Coturnix japonica: one gene and its partners. The main gene of each other region encodes a partner of the protein of the gene in region 2 in a complex. Links are inferred from orthologs where the notes say so. Each region holds a gene or a part of one and is shown on either strand. Other genes may lie near its edges.

Region 1 (4,015 bases), on a different chromosome or scaffold from region 2:
GGAGGAGAGAGGGGAGAGGAGGACGGAGGAGGAGGGAGGAGGAAAGGGACGGGAGGGGAAGGTAGGAAGAGGGGAATGGAGGGGAAGATGGAGAAAGGAAGAAGAAGAAGAAAGGAAGGAAGGAAGGAAGGAAGGAAGGAAGGAAGGAAGGAAGGAAGGAAGGAAGGAAGGAAGGAAGGATTAAAATGTGCTGTAAAGTAAGAGAAAGTTCAAACAGATGACAGGGAAGAAAGACCCAGCATTCAAATTTGCTGATAGCTTGTAAACAGAAAGAAAGGTCATATAGAAATCTGTCTATCCCAGCAATGCAGGCAACTGTGAGGAGCTGCAAAAGCCGAGTCACAAAAGGACAAGCCGTATAATGGTGAGGATGCAGCTGGTGCTGTGGGTTGCAGCACAGCATGTCCTCCTATCTGGATAAAAAACGTGCTAGTAAGCAGGACAGGCAGCAGCTCTTCCTTTACTTCCTACTTGCTGCTGAAACCCAGCAAGTCACAGCCCGGCCCAGTGCTGTCACACAGCGGGGCCAGTCATCATTTCCATTCATAAACGCGGCTTCAAGAGGGATCCGACGCTCACAGCGCTCGGATGGAGCTCGGGTGGCACCTTGTGGCTGCCCGATAAATCACAAAACGAGCTTTTCCGAGCGGCTTCTGATTAAATCCTCAATAACTGCTTTTTCCCTCCAAAGCCATCGCTTAAACCTGACGGCATCAAAGAAAAGCCCTGTGTTCTCTGTTTGTGGATGTATCACCGCACACACTCGGACGTATCTTTGCATCGGGATCAAAGTGTCCTTGGTTTAATGGTTTAATGGACACAGAGCTCAGCTCACTGAGCCGGCGATGTGTTGGCAGGGCCGGGCCGGGCCCAGCATCACCGCCCCTCCATCACGAGCTGTGGTAGCGCCCGCCATCGCCCCGCCGCCTTTGGACGGGCCCACAGCGGTAGATCCGCGGGGGGGAAGGCGACAAGATTCGCTGTTTCCTCCTGCCCGGTGCAGGACGTTTGATGGCCTGAAGTGCCGGCACCGCACGGAGGGTTCGGTCGCCGCCCGCCCGGTTGAGCACAGAGACACGATCCGCTTTTGGCCTCCCGAGAAATGGTTCGGTCCAACCCCACCTCAGCGGACGGGCAGGAGCCGCCATGTTGGGCTGAACCATAAAGCAGTGCAGCAGGGGGAGCCGCAGCCGCGAGGGCTCGGAAAGGACGGACGGCGCTGCTGGCCGAGCAGGAGGGGTGAGCGGTGAAGGAGGCGGCGATCGCTCTGGGGAAGAGCAGGGAGAAAGAAGCGGCGGGTGGAAGCTCCATCGGGCAGCGCTGCTCTAACCCGGCCCCCCCCTCCCGTTGGTAGCGGCGGCTCGCGGGGCCTGGCGCACATGGCCCGGCGGTAGGAGCCTCCCCACCCCTCCCCCGCTCCTTTTCCCGTCGCTCTCGAGCTGGGAACGCGCGGCCGGTGGGGCCTCGTACCGACCCCATGCAGGGCACCGAGGACAGCCCCGCGCCGCCCGGCGCACAGGACCCGGCCGAGGAACCCGAGCGGGCCGACGGAGCGCCGACAGAGCCGCCGCCTCAGCAGCAACTGAAGGAGGAGGAGGAAGGGGAGAAAGAAGGGCCGGAGGAACAGGGCGGCTCTGAGGGGCCCCCTGAGCCGCCACCCGCCGCCTCGGAGCCCCCCGCCGAGCCCCAGCCGCTTCAGCCGCCCTCCCCTCAGTCGGCGTCCGGCCGGGAGAGCCCCTCGCAGGCCGGGCCCGAGGCCGAGCCGCCGTCGGAGGAGGCCAAGAGCGAGTCCCAGGCCGAGGCCGAGCCGCCAACCGAGCCCTGCGAGGACGGGGAGGCCGCGCCCGCCGAGCCCGAGGACGAGCTTTCGTTCAGCGATCCCGAGGGATTCGTGGACGACATCAGCGACGAAGGTTTGTGCGGGGCCGGCTCGGGGCGGGCTGGGCTGGGCCGGGGCGCTGCGGGAACGTGGGGAGGCCTCGGCGTGTCCGTGCGGTTGGTGCCGTCAGCGCTGCCCTCCTGAAACGGGGCGATGAGCTGCGGGTGTGGAGCAGCTCGGGGTCTGTGAGGAAAAGCTGGATACTGAGTGTCATACAATGACCCAGCCGTCGTTTGGCCCCATAAGGCGTTATGGCAGCAGCTGTCTTTGGTGCTTCAGTATTTCTACTGTTTCGGACAACTCTTTCAAGATAAACCGTGTCAATTCTTGAACAGCAAATCCATTTGTCTGTTGTGCCAGTTCTTACTCTGACGTAAATGCTGCTGTAGGTTCTGTAATGGTTACACGTATCAGAGCTGGAAAAATGCCTCTTAAAGCATGTACTGCTTCCTGAGTCAGCAGGTGGTTTGAATTGGTGGCGGAATACAAGTGGTAATTGTGCTTTCTTGTGTTCCATTCCTATGTTTAGCTTAATAAATAAGTGGAGAAGTATTTTGAATTAAGAAAGTGTGTTATTCTTAGTAGTGTATATGGCACTTTGAGCACGTGTATCTTAGAGACACTACCAAAAGTGTCTGCAGGTTTATCACTGGATTCTTGTCTAGTGAAGTGTTTGCTTTGGATGCTTTCTCTACATCGGGGATTATCACATTCATGTCAGTGTTTAGATAGAACCCAGAACATTTCCTGTCTTTTTTTCTGTTCTGTTCTTTAGGATTAATTTGGTTGACTCTTCATCTGTATGAATAATACAATGTTAGTGGCTGAATTACAGCGTTTAACTTTAGTCACTCCTGCTGGTCTGGTTTTCTATCTGCCTGTTCTACTTCTTGAGCTGCCTTATTCCTTTTCCTTTACCCTGATAACTCCACAGGACAATCAATTCCAGGCCATCAGCATCACTGATTCAAGGTTATTTCCATATTCCCACATTTATGATAAGAGTTACGTGTTCAGGAACAATTCTGAACCAGTCTGGCTTTAAGATTGGATCATCTCAGGTGTTAGTTTGACTTATGTTGGTTTTTTTTTCCCAGAATGGTGTTGGCACAGCAGAACAGCTGTTCCACCTTCCATAGAAGGAATGTGTCAGATCATCGCCCAGGTGCCATGAAGCTTTAGTTCAGATAATGAGAGAGGTCCTTAAAATTCTGCCAGCTGAAGATAGCCGTGCACCCACCACACCCCTCTTTTCTGGCCTGTGGGAATAGAGCTGGCTGAACCAGCCGCTGCCCTTTGAAGGTTTCTTTGTTGGTAGTTTTGCATTTAAGGTAGAGGAGATACACAGTGTAGGTATGTGTTTAACCTGTTAGAGTTCTGATTTAGGATAGAATGTCCTCTACTTCCATGTTAAGCTAAATAAGCATTCCTTTCTTTTATAGCCTTTTGTGGGAACTGGCTATGAAAAAGAGACTCTCAGAGCTTCAGGATTATCGTTCTCTTTTTCCCATAAGATTTTGTGGAAATAACCTGGTTCCTTAGAGGACATGTTTCCATATTACATGCAAGAAGAACTAAAGATATAAAGATTCTATAATTAAAAAATATTATTTTTCTATAATATCAGGTTTTGAAATTCCTTTTTTCAGTCCTTAGAGTTTTTGTAGATGCTTCCCTGCCCATCTGTTAGCTCTCAGGCCAGAGGTTACCTGTCAATGGCTTCAGTGTATGTGTGTTGTTAGCTAGCTGGGTAATGGCAAGATATCCTAATATACTCTAAGGTGTTGTATGTGCTTAGAAGTTAACTTATTTGCAGCTTCTTATTTCCTTTCTTCTGAGTCTTTGGCTCATACTGGGTGAACTTTCATCTTTGTAGAAAGAAGTTGAGGGGAAAGCAACCCAAATGTGTTTAAATTCTATGTTACCCGCGGGGTTAAGTTTGTGGATACAAAATAATTAAATGGAATTGTCTTGAGATACAGCTTAGAGTAAGGTATGCAGAAAATTCCACAGGTAAACTGTGTCTAGAAGCCTGCTGCTGTTTTTGTTGCTCCTAATTTTGTGTGTGACATAGGGCTGTACTGTGTGCCTTTCAACTGCTGTAATCTTGGTGTGATAGGAAAACCACAACTGCTG
Region 2 (4,046 bases):
AGCACAGTGCCGTCAGCTGTGCAGCCCCCTCCCAACAATTAGCTGGGTATCATTAATGGACACGTGTTCTTCCCCTGGTGCCCCTCCAGGTCCCACTGATGCCCTCTGTGTACAGATCAGCGCTTTGTCACAGCCCTGAAGGTACATGTGGCACCACAAGTTAAAGCCAAGAAATGGCCCAGGAATCTACTTTGAGTTACCAGCACGAGTGGAACCTGTAAGCTTAAGAGCTCACCTTTGGCAGGGCCTGGTCTGCACAGAAGCCACGCAGGCCATGCACACGTTATGGGTGAGCTTTACAACCACAATCCCCAGCTGGGCCTCAGAGCAGAAACGTGAGCACTCAGAGCAGCCATTTACCCGGAGGAGGAACGCGGCGTCACAGCGCATCCCCACAGCTCCCCTGGGCCAACCCGCACCTGTGGCAGAGCCGGCTTCCATCCACATTCCAGGAGGCTGACTTGAATCTGCAGCAGCGCTCATTCAGCTCGTATCTAATTAAACCTGTTACACCCATTTCTTAAACAGCCATTCTCAGCACTGCTGTGCTCGGTGCCCAGCCTGCACGGAGGGGTTTAGATCGAGCACACAGAGCAGGAGGGCAGCGAGTACCAACGGGGCTGCAGGAAGCGACCGCCTCCTCCAACAACTGCTGCCTTCAGATGGGAACAACCCGCCCCAAAGCTGCTCCAAGCACCTGTCAGCACTGCAGGAGTGAGTGAGCAGGGGTGAGTGTGCAAGGGGTGAGTGTGCAAGGGGTGAGTGTGCAGCAGCTGCTCCCACCGCTGCAGCTGGAGCAGGAGCTGAGCCCCATCTCTCCTCCTCCAGCACTGACACTGAGCCAGGGCACAGCCTCCAACCAAGAGCTGCCCAGGGATAAATAGAGCGAACCCTGTTGGCACCAGGCCTGTCTGCTGGGCAAGCTGTGCCCGGTAACAGCTGAGAGCAGCTGCGTTACCAATGAAGATGATGATCTGAAACCCGGGGAAGTCAATGTTTCCTGAACTCTGGGGTTACTTTAAGATCAAAACAACTGCAAAACAAACTACAGGATCCGAGTATGTAGGAAACAAAGCAAGAACATGAACACGCAAAACACCGCGCTCACATCTTTCCCTTATATCCATACTCCAAGGCTGACCCTGGCAAACAAGGAGCTCCAGTATCCACCTCCCAGGCTCAGCCCTGAGATCTCCAGCATTTAAACAACGAGCAAATGGAAATGAAACACTCCTATCTGCCATCCAGCCCTCAGCTCCAGGTGCAGCTCTGGTACTAATAGTGTGACCCCGAGAAAGGGGGAGGAAGCCAAACTGCTGCACACGGGGAGCTGCTCCTTTATGACAGCAGAGCTGTCCCTATGAGCACCACCCCACAGAGCAGTTCTCCTGGACACGCTGGATACCAGGAAGGTTCCTCACTTCCAAAGGAAGGCAGAAAAGCAAACTTCACCAGCGCTCTGTATGTGTTCTATATAAACACACACAGGTACGCACACACTGCAGCCAGTGTCACATACGTGCATCCAGTGACGCTGTAACCACGCTGCTCACAGAGATACCCCCACTCACCTTGTGTGCTGTAATGCCACAGCAGTGATAACCACAGGGTGTGGTGTCACTGTGCTTCAGAAGCAGAACAGACAGCTCCTAACTCACACAAGTATCTCTTTATAAAGGGAACGCTCTCACACTGCCCACAGAAGGAATTCCACCCTAAGCTCCAATGGTGCTGGTGGTTCCAATATCCTCCAAACAGCGGCACAGCCCGACCCAGCCGAGCACTGAGCCCTCACCCAGCACCGTGCAGGGCTTCACCCAGCGACCACAACGTGGCGACCAGGCGACACCCCGAGCTGCACCGCTGCGTGTCACAGCCCCGACAGCAGCTGGACCGGCCACAAAACGCTGCTGTGAGCTTCGGCTCCTTCCATCCCGATCCCACCCACACGTGCTGCCCGGCTGCTGTGCACACAGAGCTCCGTGCTGGGAGCACAGCGGGGCCAGGCGGCAGGAGACTCGCTGTAATGCAGCCCCTCGTTGTAATGCAGCCCCTCGCTGTAGTGCATTCACTCGCTGTAGTTCAGTCACTCGCTGTAGCTCAGTCACTCGCTGTATCGCAGCCCGGCTCCATCCTCCCGCCTCCACGTGCTGCAGCGCCTCAAACCCCCCATCCCAGCGCTGCTCCGTCAGCCCGTGGCCGCCATCCCGCCCTGCAGCCCCGCTCGGTTCTGGCAGCACCGTGACACCCCCCGCAGCTCCGGCTCCTCCCCGCCCGGCTCCCCGTACCCGCTCCCGGCCCGACTCCGCTCCCCGTGGCCCAGCGGTACCGGACCGCGCCAGGAGCCGCGTTCGGGCCGTGTCGGCTCCCGGGCCCCACAGCGAACAACACCCGACGGCCAACAGCGCATCACGGCCCGGATCCGATCGGAGCGGCCCGACCCGGCGCTGAGTGTCCCGGCCCGACGCACCTTCACGTCGTCGTCCTCGTCCTCTCCGGCCCAGCGATCTCCGGCCACCCCCGGCACCAACCGCTTCGCCACCGGCTCCACCACCTCGAAGGTGTCGGCGTCTGTGTGGGGGGAAGCAGAAAGGACAGCGGGTGAGCGGAGCGAGGACCGGACGGACCGAACGGATGGAACGGATGGAACGGATGGACCGGGTCCAGGCCGACACCTACCCCAGGAATCCGCCTCGGCCGCCATCTTGCCGCGGGAGCGCGGCGCGAGCTGACTCAGCCGCAGCTCAGCGCACGGCGCGCGGGGCACCATGGGAGCACGGCCCGCCCCTGCGGCCGCCATCTTGGGAGGGATGAGGTGGGGCCGAGCCGCCATCTTGGGAGGGGTGAGGTGACGGCACCGCCGCCATCTTGGGAGGGCTGACAGGCCGCTCCCCCCGGCGGGGCGGGGCCGGGCCGGGCGCCGTGCGGTACAACGGGCCGTGCCGGGGCTGGACGGGCCGTGCCGGGGCTGGACGGGCCGTGCCGGGGCTGTCCCGGCCCGCTGTGCTCGGGTGGGCGGTTCGGTGCTGGGTAGGACGGGGATCACCTCAGGAACACGGGGCAGAAACGCAGCTGAGGCGGCTGGAAGTGCCGGCGTTGGGCCGGGCAGCCCCTGGGCTGCACAGTGGAGCTGGCAGGGCTCAGAGCTACAGACCATCACAGCGTCAACCGGAGTATAAATATTTAATAGAAATCTGTAGGATTCGATATCCTGAAACCACAGCAGAAAAAAACCACAGCTCTGTAGGACGTTGGTTCTCTCCCATTTGTATTTTACAAGGTTCAGCCTATCGGTACAATGACATCTTTGCAAGTATAAAAAAAATAAAGCAAAACAGTATTACATTACACAGTCAAGACAACCCAAATAGTGATGTGCGTAACAGAACCTGTACAAGGCAATCCTTGCCGAGCCTTCCTTGCTTCCAAACAAAGAAGTTGCTTTTTTTTTTTATTAATTTATATAGATCTTTTTGTACAAAATAATGACAACTAGCTAAGAAAACAACGCACCTATGCTACTTCTCATCAGCCATTTAGCAACTTGTGAACCATTCTCTTTAAGCACCCACAACCCAAGGTGCGGATCTGCAGCGACGCGGTGGCTCAGCCCTTAGAGCACAGCCTGACTCTCATCGTTCGATTCCACCTGTCTCAGGTGCTGATAATGATACAGAAGCTCCATGGAGTTGGCTGAGCCACGTGCCTGCTTTGCTGCGCAGACCCAAGTCCTTTCCCCATCAAAATAACCCACACTTGACTTGAAACTCTACTTACAGCGGAAGACGTTATTTTCATGTCATAGCAATCAGTTTCTCGTTGCACTTATTGGAACAAACCTAACAGCCGCGCTGATATCGCACCAGGAGCTGCCTGGTCTTTTCTTTCAATGACAACATGTTGTGAGCGTTTACTTTTTGGCCTCGACTTCCTGAAACCCATTCCATCTGGCCAGACGTACCGGATTCATTGCAACTGTGCAAACATTCATTTGACACTGGAACTTTAGCTTTGTAAAGGTGTGCTCTCCAAGTCCTTAACATGGA
Region 3 (4,024 bases), on a different chromosome or scaffold from region 2:
CAAAAGCCAAGTGGAAGAATCTGGGAGAAGAAAGAGGCAGGTTAGGGATGTCATCAGGGTTTCCTCAGAGAAGCTCTGCAATTCTAGTAACTCTCCAAATGCTGCCAATAGCAAGACGCTCTGGGAGCAGGAGAGAACTCCAAGTGCAGACTCAGCCCTGCCAGAGAAGAGCACCAACCTTGCCTCAAATTTGCCAATCCTGGTGGAGGTCGTGGTCACATCCATGGCCTCCTGCCCACCACCGAGCACAACCTGCATAGGAAGAAAGTCACAACACTGCAGTGCTGCTTACACCATATGTGGAACAACAGCCAGGGTAGGAGGGAGCCCAGCCTTGGGGAAGCCTCCCACTAACCCAGCACAGCCCATGACAGCAGTCAAGTCCCCTGGCCCTGTCCCACAGTGATTCTTTAGCTCAGGCTGAACTGGTGACACTGTGCCTTCCAGCTGCCTGAGACAATGCAGGAGCTGCACTAAGACCGTTAGTATGCGTGGGCTCATGCTTACGTGATCAAAAATGGGGGAGAGTGCAGCAGAGTTCACCGGTCGCTCTGTCCGGAATGTCTTCAGATGTTCCAGCGTTGTGCAGTCAAATAGCTAAAATGCAAAAGGAAGAGAGTGGCAGTCCAAGTATCTCATGCAAACCCCAGCTGCCAGTCCTCACATGAGCAGGTGTTACTTCTAAAGTCACTCCTGGGCATCCAAATGTCAAAGCTATTGCTCCAGAATCCCAAATATCAGCCCTCCCACTAAGCTTTGGCTCTACACCTGCTCAAATTCCCAAAGAGAAAACCACTGAGGCAGCCATGACTTTGAGCAGGGGTCCTGCAAGCGGATGTCAGCAATGCACCGCAGTCCCCCCAGGAGGCCTCACCTTGGCAGTGTTATCCTTGGAGGCAGTGATGAACATGGTCATGTCCCTGGAGGTCTGAATATCATTGATTTGCTTGGTGTGCTCCTTGATGTTTGAAAGCTGCTCCCCTGACTGAAGGGTAAACGAGGCAGTTTAAGTGAACTGGCAAGGAAAGTGTACAAACAACTTCTCTGCTAAAACCGACTTTAGATGTTGCTGTCAGCAGAAAGGTAGGCATATATATGTTCAGCTTTGCTGAAGAAAGCCACATACTTTAACTATCCTTCCTCAAGGCCACTGGTTTGAGCCAAAAAAACCCACATTCTGCCACATGATCACAACAGGAACGTTGCAACATCCTCTCCCAAGAGTTGCTGCCTGAGGGTGATGCTCCTCCTTATCACACTGACCTTGGCACTGAACTGGTTCAGCTCCCCACTCTCGTGTCCTGCGATGATGAATTCTCCCAAAGGGCCCCACACAGCACTAGTGATTTTAGAGTCGCTGCAGGGGATTTTCATGTAAGGCTCGTTGTTCTCTGCAGGAAGGAAGGATGGAGACACACAGACTGAGTGGCACCAGCTCTTGGCAGCCAACGCTTCCCCTTATTCCCAGTTGCAGGCACAGGCCCGGATTCCTCACCGATTTGGCTGGGGTCACGCAGGTCAAAGAAGCTCACAAAACACTGATAACCCATCTGCTTGTCCGTGGAAAACATGATGATGTTTCCTCCAAAGTCAAAGCCACACGTCCTCACTGCCGAGCTGGTCTTCACCAGAGCGAGCTGCTTTCCTGAACACGGAGCAGAAACCATCACTTCACTTGGTCTTGCATTGCAAACATTAATGAAAGCAATCAAACAGAAGTGCAGTCATAGAAAGAACAGGAGCATCAGAGCTGACAGACAGGTTGGGTGACTGGAAAGCACTAAATGTGCTTGGTGAGCAAAATGAATAAGTGCCCATTGAAAATAAGGCAAATACACAAACAGCCAAGAAAGGACTTGGGCTCTTTCAGGGGCAAACAGGCACATGTTGCACAGATCCCAGAACAGGACAGAGCTGAGTCAGATCCAGCCACGTGGGAGAGAAGAGCCTTTACCTGTTTCACAGTCCCAGAGCCGACAGCTGTTATCTGCAGAGCCAGTGAGCACATGTCGGGTGTCCCCTTGGTCAGCAGTTAAGGGATATCAGCACGTTTGCAGCCCCAAAAATCATTAGATACCCAGGGAGTATTTACACACAAGATTAAGAAGCTGCGTTACATTGAGAAATTACAGGACTTGGGAAACTTCCCAAGGAGCACAAATAACCAAGAGATGGCACAAGGGACAATTAAACACAGCAGCTGAATGGAGCCATCCGTGCTGAATCACTGCAAGGAACGAGAGCACAAACTGGTTGTGCACCCAAAGGATACAGTCAGCATCCACACACCACACGGCTCCTGTGTGCCCATTGTAGGTGCCCAGCCGTTCTCCATTCACCGAGTACCAAACGTTGACGATCTAAAAGAAGATAAAAAGGCTTGAAGAGCCGCTCTGACCAATTACCTGAGCTCGTTAATTACCCACCTTTATCCCTCCCCCCCCATCGCACACAGCCCGGTTTCCCGGTGCCCCCGGTTCACTCACGGGATCCTTGGCCACAGTGAACAGCAGGTCTCCCTCTCGGTTGTACTTGATCTGTGTGATGGATCGCTCGTGGCCCTGCAGCAGGATCGGCTTCTGCACGCGGCAATGAGGGAAGGCGCCATTTAACGCTATGCCAAGCGAGGCCGAGGCCCCGGCTGGGGCTCAGGCTGCCACCACCATCAGCCCAGGAGCCCCGCCGACCCCAGGACCCAGCCGGGACCCGCATCAGCCCGGCCCGGCCCACAACCCGACTCACCATGGCGGACACGGCGCTGCCGGAACCGGAGCGAGAGAGAAGAGGCGTGGAGTATCACGTCCGGGTCACGGGGCGCTATGGCGGCCGCCGGTGAGCTTCCGGGTTTGGGGGACGGGCCTCGGGTGGATCCCGGAGGGGCTGAGGGGACGGGGTGGGCTGTGTGAGGGGGCTGCGGGCTGATGGCGGCCGGGCCAACAGCCCCGGGGCTGAGCTGATGTTGTGCTGCAGGGCAGGCCGCCGTGCTGGTGCTGGTGTCGGTTCTATGGGGCAGCACCGGGCCGTTCCTACGGACGGGAGCGGCGGGGCTGTTGGACGTGCAGCGCCGGGGGCTCCTACGGCAGCTGCTGGCCGAGATCAGGTTCCTGGGCTGCAACTACAAGGTGAGCACAGCCGGAATCATGGGGTGTATGGGACGGGCCTTCATGCTCCTTCCTGCACTCAGCACCTCCCATCTATCAGCAAAATGATTTGTACTCTATAACATTTCATCTACCCACCTGCAGTCCTGCTCTTCTTATGGAGAACTTAGACACTTGTAGAAATTAACCCTCATATTTCACATTCAGACCTGCCTGCCTTCTGCAGACATGGCATCCAAGGCTTGCACTGCTTGCTGCAGGCATTGCAATGCTTTTCCATGCAGTGACCTGTCTTCTTTCCGCAGTACATGGTGCCATTCCTGCTGAACCAATGTGGATCGCTCCTCTTCTACCTCACCTTGGCATCTGCAGGTCAGCTCTCACTGCTTTGTCCAGTGGGTTGATCAGGGTTTGGGGAGGAGCTGTATTACTGATTCATTTGGTGATCTGGCTGAACATCAAGTATCATCATCATAGTATCACAGTCTGGTGTGGGTTGGAAGGGACCTTAGAGATCATCGAGTCCAACCCCCGGGATTCGAGCCTCCTGTGTAGCAGAGCGGCACTTCTACCACTTGTGCCACAGGGGGATTCAAGTAGATGTCTTTGAATGAAGGACGCATCCATTTCAAACCGTGTTACAATTGTTCAATTTCAGAGCTGTCCCTGGCAGTGCCGCTCTGTAACTCCCTGGCTCTGATAGTCACGCTGGTGACTGGAAGGATTTTGGGAGAGGATATTGGTGGTAAAAGTAAGTTACGCTTAAAACATTTGGCACGTTGTATTCTGCATCTATTTGTTGTTTTAATGTTGTGTGCTCCCTTCTGGTAACTGCTTAGGCAGTAGTTTGTGCAAGGAAGCTGAAAAGGAAGTGAAACTGACTTGTAAGGGGGTAGAGCTAGTGAATTTAAATTGGCTGGAAC
Region 4 (4,326 bases), on a different chromosome or scaffold from region 2:
ACCTGTGACTTCTGGTCCCATTTCTGCCTCACTCCAAACTGCTTCTGAAACTTCTTTTGGAGGCGCAAACGATCCCTACAATGACAAATAGGTGAAAAGCCATTACAACAAGTTCTCAACACAAGAAGCTCCCTGCCACGACTCCCACACTTCCAAATAATCACCAGAGGAACAACGTTTGCAGGCTGAGAATTTGGCTATCCAAACAACTGAAGTGTTAAGAGCTTTGTTCTGCACTCTGAACACCCTTTATATGTTTTTATCCTTAATGACCACAACACAGTTTCCAGGAAGAGCACATCCTGCTTTAAGTTGTCACACTTACCTCCTAAACTTGACTCAAAACATCTCCTAGATTCTTAAATAGCTGCCTGAAATCCATGCTTGTAACTACTGGGCGCATCAGCAAACATTAAAATACCCTGAAATGCTTTGCTAGGAACTTTGGTGGGTTCTGTTACAGTAACTTAAATTACTCGTTAACAGTATGTTCACACACTCCAAGTACAGAATGCTTGTATGTGAAGCCCGCACCTCTCTTTCTGCTTGGCACTCTTTGGCAGCGTCTGCATGCTGAACTGCAGCATGTTCCGGCGGTCCTTGTCTCTCCGAAGGTTCCTCTGTGGGAATGCAGCAAAGAATAAAAGGACAGATTAGTGGCAAAGTAATTCTGTATTGCTCAATCTCTTTTTTTGAGCCTGTTTCTGAAAGTAAAGCTTTACCTGTGCAAATCGCATGCGATTCCTCTGGTATGCAGTTTTCTGTGTCCGGGCTGTATCCACCAACTGGAAGCTGGTCTCATCCTCCTCATGGAAATACGCATATTGACTTCCACCACCAAACTGTGATGAGTACTTGTCTGGAAATAAAATAAATCATTTTGCTATGAAGCTTGGAAGCAAAAATATGACACTCCACCCGCCCCCCCAGTTTTCCTCAGTAGCCTTTACTCAAGTCTAATGCATCAACTAGGACTCCTGCATTAGACTGTCACATTGCCTCCCTGCTCTGAACCTCCCAGAGAAGCACCAGTCAGCACATGGAACAAACCCACAAGGGAACCCTAAGGGCAGGGAGAGCCCCACGCAGCTCTCCAAGCGGTGAGACACGCTTCTGAAATTAAAGAGCCTCCTCTGCTGAGGTGTGTATGTAGCCGGTAGAGCCAGTGGGAAACACGAAAGCAGGGATGACGTTTGAAGTAAGCTTTGCACAAAATAAATAGCAGGAACAGCCATTGGACAACACGTACTTGTGTATCTCTTATCCTGATACGTGGCTCCTGTCCAATCTGCCACCTAAGGACAAAAATATACAGTAAAAAAAAAAAGCAAGTGTTAATATGATGTGTGTGTCGTCCCCCCCCCCAGTAGGGCCTCAAAAGGCAAAATAAGGGACTGCTGTATGCACCTCAACTCCCACCTCCATAAGCAAGCCTCACAGAATGCTCACAACTGTCAAGGTGCTGGAGAACCATATAATGTCATATCTCAGAATGGCTCAGGTTGGAAGGAATCTTAAAGAATATCTAAATCCTGCCCCCCACCAGCTCATTCACCGGCTTTAAGCTGCAGGTGTATGGGCACCACAGCTCTCTGGGCAGTCTGTGCCAGCGCCTCAGCGTCCTCTAAACAAAGAATCACAGAATGACCCGGGTTGGAAGGGACCTCAAGGATCATGTAGTTCCAACCTGCCTGGCAGGCGCCAAACATACACCTTACTAGATCAGGTTGCGGGCCCGTCCAACCTGGTCTGAACACCTCAAGGACGGGCATTCACAACTCCCTGGGCAGCCGTGTCCAGGGCCTAACCACTTTCCTAGTGAAGATTCCCCTAAAATCCAACCTAATCTTCCCTCCTTCAACTTAAAACCATTTCCCCTAGTCCTGCTATTATCAGCCTTTTGAAGAGTTTACTCCCTCCTGGGAGTAGTTCCTTCAGTACTGAAAGGCTGCAATGAGGTCACCCGCAACCTTCTCTTCTCTAGGCGAACACCAACTCCCTCAGCTGTTCCTCATAGGGGAGTGCTCCAGCCCCTGATCATCTTCGTGGCCTCCTCTGGACCCTTTCCAAAATTCCATGTTTTTTGTACTGAGGGCTCCACACCTGGACACAGTATCCAGATGGGCTCACAAAGCAGAGTAGAGAGGACGATCTCCCTATCCTGCTGACCACCTCTCCTGATGGAGCCCAGGATCCATTTGCTTTCCGGGCTGCCAGAGCGCACTGCTGGCTCATGTTGAGTCTTTCGCACACCAAGACCCCCAGGTCTTTCTCTGCCGAGCAAAAAAAGAGACCCCTCCCAACGTCTAACCCAGCTCCCCACTCTGGTAGCTCAGCAGAGGCACAGGGGTGCACCCAGCAGCCACACAGCGCAGTACCTTGCCCAGGCGGTCCCCCTTGCTGAAGGGCTGGTAGGGCATATCCTTGAACTGCTCGGGCACGGCGCACGGGCCCCAACCCGAGGGGTTGTCCTGGATCACGGGGGTCACGAACTTCGCCATGGCTCACAGCCCTGCGGGGAACAAGCGGAACGTTCCTTCAGCACCCGCCCCGTCGGCGCCACCGTGAGGGGAAGGGGCACCGAGGGAGCCCGGAGCGGGCGCAGGAAGGCGGGGGCGCCGGCCCGGCCCCACCGGAACCGGCGGTAACGCCTGGGCGGGGCCGGGGGTCGCGCTGCCCGCGGGCCGGTCCCGGTAGGACGGCGGAGCGTGACGGGGCGGCCGCGGCGTCCCCTCACCTGAGCGGCCGCGTTACGGCCCCGATGGCGACGGATACGACAGCGGCGGCGACGGCCGGCGAGGAAAGGCCGCGCGCAGCCCCGTCCCGCCCTTATTGCGTCAGCACTGCGCGACGGCGCCGCCGCGCACCACCGTCGTAAAAGAGAGAGAGCGAGGGGGCGGAGCGCGACTGCCGTAAAGCGCGGATCTCCCGTTAGGCGCAATGCGCCCCGTGACGTCACCGCCGGCATCGGGCTGTACGTGGTGGGGTGTGACGTCACCACGGCTTTTACTTACCCGGGGGGTAGGGAGGGGGCAGGGTGGGTTCGTCGCGTGCCTTACATAGGATCATTAAGGCTGGAAAAGACCTCTAGGATCACCCGGTCCAACCATCAGCCCATCCCCACCATCCCCATGACCACGTCCCTCAGTGCCACATCCACACGGCTCTGAACACCTCCAGGGACGGTGACTGCACCACCTGCCTGGGCAGCCTGTGCCACTGCAGCACCTTCCTCATATCTCAATCTTTCCTCATATCCAACCTGACCCTCCCCTGAGGCCATTCCCTCTCACCCTATAACTGTTACCTGTGAGCAGAGGCCGACCCCCACCTCACCACAACCTGTTTGCAGAACGTCCCTGGGTATCTTGCACCATCTGAGTCTAGATCAATATTTTGCAGGCAGAGCACCGTGCATTTCCTCCTTTATTTACTGCGTTTAAACCCTCCTCGAGAAATAACCGAAGCAGTCTGCTTTGCCAGGAGGCTGCGCCATTAATCAGAAGTCGGATTATTAAAGCAGTTTTCCCCGCTAGCAAAAAGAGAAATCCACTTACAGAAACACGGTTTATAAAATACCATTTGTAACTCTCACAGGCAAACAGCCTTTGTGGTGACAAACGTCAGTGCTGGAACAGCCCTGGATATCACAGACTCAACCTGAGCATAGCCACGTTCAAGTCATGCTTAGGAAACGTAAAAGGAAGTCCCAAAGAGCAAACGGAATGAAGAAAGAGAAAACAACTAGACTGATAAACCTAGACTCTGCATTCCCCCTGCTTGCCTGTTCCCTTACAGTCCTGTGTGAGGTGCTGAAAGGCAAGTGTAGCGCTGCTGCTGCCTGCTGAAGAGTGCTGGCACTTCGGGCCCAGCCCCTCAGGCTGCCTCGTCTGGGAATGGAGCTGGGTATTAGTGTGTCTCAGAGGGGAAAGCAAGCACAGGGAATGGCCATCAGAGAACAAATGCTCTTTTAGGCACATCATAACCTACCGGTTTCTTATCAAGAGGAGAAACTTCAGCTGCAAGAAAAATCCAGCCTTGAGGAAGGTGAGATTTGTTCCCCCATTTAAGTGGGATTTACTGGAAGAGGGGACAGGGTGGCTTTGGCTCACGCTTACTTGGCACCAGACCCTGCCCAGCTCACCTCCTGTCCTGGGCTGCACTCAGGGCTGTGCTGGTGTCAGCTCCAGCACTGTTTCTGCAGATGATTTGCCATCCAGCTGTCGGCTATCATTATCAGCACGTGAGACACACAGTGTCCCAGAAAAGTGCTGACTTTGCTCAAAATACACTCGCTTGCAATCACTTGATCTGTGATCCATAATT
Region 5 (4,033 bases), on a different chromosome or scaffold from region 2:
ACAGCCAACAGTCAAGGCAATAGATCTGTTTTGGTGACATTAGAGCTGATATTCAACCACCCACCAATCACTAACATCACCCAGAACAAATTAAATTGTCTCACTGTTGTCCAGTAGAAGAAGGCTGCCTTTTCAAGTCCAGGTAGCTTCTAGTACAACTAAGTGATGAAGTCTCATGTGAATAGAATACTTTAAGTCTCCTTTTCCTCCTCTGTGCTGTCCAGACCTAAGAACTGCCTATTAACCTACACAGCTTTTTGTCCTCTTCCCCTCAAGGAAGGTCTTTGTAAATCCCAACAACACAGCTGCTTCTAGACAATCATACCAAAGAATCATAGAATAGCTTGGAAGGGACCCTGCTGTGGACAGGGCCACCAGTTCAGCCCCCATCCAACCTAGCCTTGAACCTCCAGGGATGGGGCACCCACAGCTCTCTGGGCAGCAGTGCCAGTGCCTCACCGCCCTCTGCATAAAGAATAAGTTTTAAATGCTCTAGAAGACCGATAAACACAGGAGGGAATCACTCTTCCTAGAATTATCTTGTGTCACCTGTAGACACCCCATGGGCAGCTTGGGAACCTCCTACAAAATAACTCAAGCAACCAGTTTCACCTGTTCAGGCAAGTCTTTGATTTAGGAACTTCAAAAAGACTCCTGCATTAACCCATTTCTCCACCCTGTGGTCCAAACCAAAACTGCAATTATTACTCATTCACCATGTAAGTCACACACCTGTCCTGCTTCTTTCTTACAGCCAAGAACTACTCTGATTTTCCTACTGACTTCAAATTAGCCTTTTTAAGGGAAAGAAGCATGGTTTGTTGTTGTTGTTTTTTTAATAGACCATTATTCCTTCTGTCTTCTTCTCCTGTATCCTCTGTGGTGCCAGTTTCTTCCTATCCACAAAACACTCTGACCCCGTATGGTCTTTCAATTACAAGTAACTCAAACTCCTCTTGTGACACCCCCTCATACACCTGCTAGCCTGAAGAAGAAATAAAGAGTCATGAAGAAACACACAAAACTGACCTGTAAGTCATGCAGTTATACAGCTCTAACAGAGAGAAAATTCAGCTATTTCTAACTCGACCCATACCTCCTAAATCTATTCAATATTGTTTTGCAAAACTTTGGAACCACTGATGCTTTAACAGCAGTGCAACTTGTTCACTTTGATGGCAGAAGAACCAAGCGCAACTAAAAGACACAGAGCAAATACTCACGCTGACTTTGGCGTAGATATGCCTATAATACAGCTCCTTGTACAGGATGAGGAAAACTGCATCTGGAAGAGATGAGAGAACTGGATATCAGCAAACCATGAAGCTTAGGCAACTGGATCTCTGAGGCACCGGTGATGTTCCTACTGCCACAGTTACAAGGACAAGTAAAAGAGGATGCTCATTCATCTGACTTTCTGATAGGCATCTACAGAAGGAGCTGCCATAGCAAAGATGAGTGATTCATAAAAACCACATGCCAGCTCCCTAACACATCAAAAGTAATTTAGTTCCTTCATTCTCCTGTAAGGAAAACAGAGTGGAAAAGAAATGCTTACCATTTCCAACCTGTGGGGCAATGGCCTCTGCCTCTGGCCATGGGGTGTTCTTGAAAAACCTTTCTGTTAGCTTTGTCCAGCTGAAAGATAAGACGTGGGGTATGAGAAAACATCCCTGAGCATCACAGAGCTGCAGTTAGAAACCACAGTACAAAGGGCTTGGACTTGATAGGACACTGTCTCCCTTCAAAACTGGTGTTACTAAGGAATTAGAATGGCAAACAAAGCAGTTAAAAAACTGACCATAGAATGGCTTGGGTTGGAAAGAACCTTAAAGATCATCTAGTTTGCATCAGTATTACCGACAACTAAATCAGCTACCAGACTGAGTTGCCCTGGGTCCTATCCAACCCGGCCTTGAACACTTCTAAGGACTGGGCATCCAGAACCTCTCTGGGCTGCTCCAATGCCTCAACAGCCTCACAGTGAAAAACTATCACATCTAATTTTAGTTTTCAACTGTTGCCCTTGTCCTATCACTATCTGCCCATGTAAAAAAGCCGAGTTCCCTCCTGTGGGTAAGCTCCCTTCAAGTACTGGAAGGCTGCAATGAGGTCTCCAGGCTGAACAAGCCCAGCTCCCATCCTTTCTTCACAGAAGAGGTACTCCAGAGGTGGCCTTCCCCTGGACCCACTCCAACAGCTCTACATCTTTCTCATACCGGGGGCCCGGGGCCTTTAAGTATGGGAGGTTTTAAGCAGTGAGAATGCAAGGACAGCCCCGCACCTGTTCTCATAGATGTCCTGGATCTCATACACCTTCTGGTCAATGACATCGCTGGAGACTCGGCTGGCCTGCAGCTCGTACACCTTCTGGTCGATGAGGTCGGACACGGTCTTGTGGAAGTACTGGATGAAGTTCTTGATGACCTCGGGGATCACCTGGTACGTCTGCTGCTCGTACTGCCGCTCGTAGGCCAGATCCTGCTTCGGGTCTCCTGAAGGGAAAGAGGCGGGTTGTAAGCCCGAGGCCTACAGCCCCCACCCCGCGGGGCGGCCCGCACCGCGCACTCACCCGTGTGCATATCATAGTCGTTGGAGTAGGCGTACGGGTCGTAGGCGGCCTGTGAAGACACGATGCGGGGATGTTACCGCGACGAGCACGAACCGGACCCACAAACCCCCCCCCATCCCCGCAGCCCGCCCCCCGCTCGCACATCGTTGTCGTAGTCCTCCCCCGGGTAGGCCATGGCGCGGCGCGGGGCCTGGGCAGGCAGGAAGAGGAGGTGGGACCAAGCGGCACGCTCCGGAAGGCCGGCCGAATTTGTTTAGTCTCTCTATTGGTTAAAATAACTGCTTGTCTTCAGAGGCTTTTCTCTCTGATTGCAGAGTCCGCCTGCCCGTCTGCACTATGTCAGCGACGACCCTTCCCGCCCCTCCCCTCACACCCCGTACCGCCCGGCCCGGCCCGTGAGGGAATGGAGGCCGAGTCTGCTGCGGGGACGGAGTCGGAGTCCGCTCTGGGAGCCGGGATGGCGCTGGGAGGGGCGGCGGGGGAAGCCTCCCTCGGCTACCTGCACGTCCTGTGGCAGCGAGAGGAACCTGCCGGCAAGATCCCGGCCCGCCGCCTGCGCAGGGCCGCCCGCATCCACCGTCGCCTGGGGCCTACGGGCAAGGAGAGCCACGGTGAGCGGGAGCGGGTTCCCCCTTCCTCCCCTGCCCCCTTCCTCCTCCGTGCTTCACACTAATGGCTTTCTTTCCTCCCCAGCCCTGAAGAGGCTGCGTGAGGCTGCCAATGGCAACGACCTGGACACAGGTGAGACTTCAACCTGACGTGAAGCCACTTCCTGGAAAGGCAGTTTGTTCAAAGCTCTTTGTTTCAGCAGAGGACGAGGAGAAGGAAGGTGCAGGTAGTTTGCAGGAATCTTCCTTTAGTTGCTGAAGATCTAGAAGTTGCTTCTCTTGAGCCTTTTGTTCCGTTCTCTGAGCAGAGTGAGACTGATTGTTATATTGATTTTTTCACTGTATTGGGTCCAGCTGCCTCAGGCTAGATTAGCAATCAGCTGTTATTCCAGCTTTTTGGTACGTAACTTTTGCCCACTCATCAGCTCTGTGACTCTCTTGACTTCCATGTACTGTAGATCAGCTGGGTTTTGATCCTAAGCATTCATCAGCAATACTGGCATATGTCATTTGCCCCCTGTCGTGGTTCCTCCTTTGTCTGTTATCAGACCATGTTGTGAACAATCGGAAATAGACGGGATTTGTAACAACCCCTGGCATTACAGGATGGGGTGATGTTGTACCCTCCAGCTTTACAGTACACCTTGTTTCATGAACTGATGGATGCATTCATCTGTGAGCTCTGACCTTGTGCAGGGTCCATACTTACCTGCAGAAGAGCTGGTAGCATCACCCCTTTCTGATCAGGTGTCCCTTCAACTTACCTGCATCCTTTTCTTTCTTGGCACTGCCAGTGCAGCAACTGCTGGAGGATGGAACTGACCCCTGTGCTGCGGATGACAAAGGCCGGACA

Evidence for each region.
Region 1: the proteins of EIF3J (region 2) and EIF3B are in contact, whole or in part, in an NMR structure (PDB 2KRB), measured with the Homo sapiens proteins. The link is inferred for Coturnix japonica from reciprocal best matches to the Homo sapiens genes EIF3J and EIF3B. Residues at the interface, in NP_003749.2 of Homo sapiens: Asp45, Glu46, Asp50, Asn51, Trp52, Asp53, Asp54, Asp55; in NP_001032360.1 of Homo sapiens: Lys202, Asn205, Val206, Ile207, Lys209, Ile210, Lys213, Asn249, Ala250, Asp251, Gly252, Tyr253, Lys254, Leu255, Phe261.
Region 3: EIF3J (region 2) and EIF3I share a complex: the UniProt entries of both Homo sapiens proteins name them as parts of the eukaryotic translation initiation factor 3 (eIF-3) complex. The link is inferred for Coturnix japonica from reciprocal best matches to the Homo sapiens genes EIF3J and EIF3I.
Region 4: EIF3J (region 2) and EIF3D share a complex: the UniProt entries of both Homo sapiens proteins name them as parts of the eukaryotic translation initiation factor 3 (eIF-3) complex. The link is inferred for Coturnix japonica from reciprocal best matches to the Homo sapiens genes EIF3J and EIF3D.
Region 5: EIF3J (region 2) and EIF3L share a complex: the UniProt entries of both Homo sapiens proteins name them as parts of the eukaryotic translation initiation factor 3 (eIF-3) complex. The link is inferred for Coturnix japonica from reciprocal best matches to the Homo sapiens genes EIF3J and EIF3L.

The regions. Positions count from the first base shown.
Region 1 is NC_029529.1:3,185,212-3,189,226, forward strand, and holds the start of EIF3B (eukaryotic translation initiation factor 3 subunit B), read left to right. Parts: upstream 1-1,178; 5' UTR 1,179-1,477; coding exon 1,478-1,913; intron 1,914-4,015.
Region 2 is NC_029525.1:17,935,957-17,940,002, forward strand, and holds the start of EIF3J (eukaryotic translation initiation factor 3 subunit J), read right to left. Parts: upstream 2,849-4,046; 5' UTR 2,834-2,848; coding exon 2,680-2,833; intron 2,572-2,679; coding exon 2,471-2,571; intron 1-2,470. UniProt on the Homo sapiens protein: Component of the eukaryotic translation initiation factor 3 (eIF-3) complex, which is required for several steps in the initiation of protein synthesis.
Region 3 is NC_029538.1:4,527,795-4,531,818, forward strand, and holds the start of EIF3I (eukaryotic translation initiation factor 3 subunit I), read right to left. Parts: upstream 2,861-4,024; 5' UTR 2,833-2,860; coding exon of another isoform or gene 2,820-2,832; 5' UTR 2,746-2,819; coding exon 2,743-2,745; exon of another isoform or gene 2,739-2,742; intron 2,580-2,738; coding exon 2,487-2,579; intron 2,361-2,486; coding exon 2,273-2,360; intron 2,021-2,272; coding exon 1,955-2,020; intron 1,646-1,954; coding exon 1,496-1,645; intron 1,392-1,495; coding exon 1,264-1,391; intron 986-1,263; coding exon 875-985; intron 598-874; coding exon 508-597; intron 253-507; coding exon 179-252; intron 21-178; coding exon 1-20. Other genes in the region: TMEM234 (transmembrane protein 234), read left to right, coding at 2,820-2,832, 2,971-3,122, 3,407-3,473, 3,760-3,852. UniProt on the Homo sapiens protein: Component of the eukaryotic translation initiation factor 3 (eIF-3) complex, which is required for several steps in the initiation of protein synthesis.
Region 4 is NC_029516.1:47,223,423-47,227,748, reverse strand, and holds the start of EIF3D (eukaryotic translation initiation factor 3 subunit D), read right to left. Parts: upstream 2,856-4,326; 5' UTR 2,738-2,855; intron 2,513-2,737; 5' UTR 2,502-2,512; coding exon 2,379-2,501; intron 1,296-2,378; coding exon 1,250-1,295; intron 860-1,249; coding exon 723-859; intron 621-722; coding exon 535-620; intron 76-534; coding exon 3-75; intron 1-2. UniProt on the Homo sapiens protein: mRNA cap-binding component of the eukaryotic translation initiation factor 3 (eIF-3) complex, a complex required for several steps in the initiation of protein synthesis of a specialized repertoire of mRNAs.
Region 5 is NC_029516.1:46,630,703-46,634,735, forward strand, and holds the start of EIF3L (eukaryotic translation initiation factor 3 subunit L), read right to left. Parts: upstream 2,840-4,033; 5' UTR 2,748-2,839; coding exon 2,715-2,747; intron 2,622-2,714; coding exon 2,573-2,621; intron 2,496-2,572; coding exon 2,285-2,495; intron 1,639-2,284; coding exon 1,559-1,638; intron 1,286-1,558; coding exon 1,224-1,285; intron 1-1,223. Other genes in the region: ANKRD54 (ankyrin repeat domain-containing protein 54), read left to right, coding at 2,976-3,183, 3,266-3,313, 3,975-4,033. UniProt on the Homo sapiens protein: Component of the eukaryotic translation initiation factor 3 (eIF-3) complex, which is required for several steps in the initiation of protein synthesis.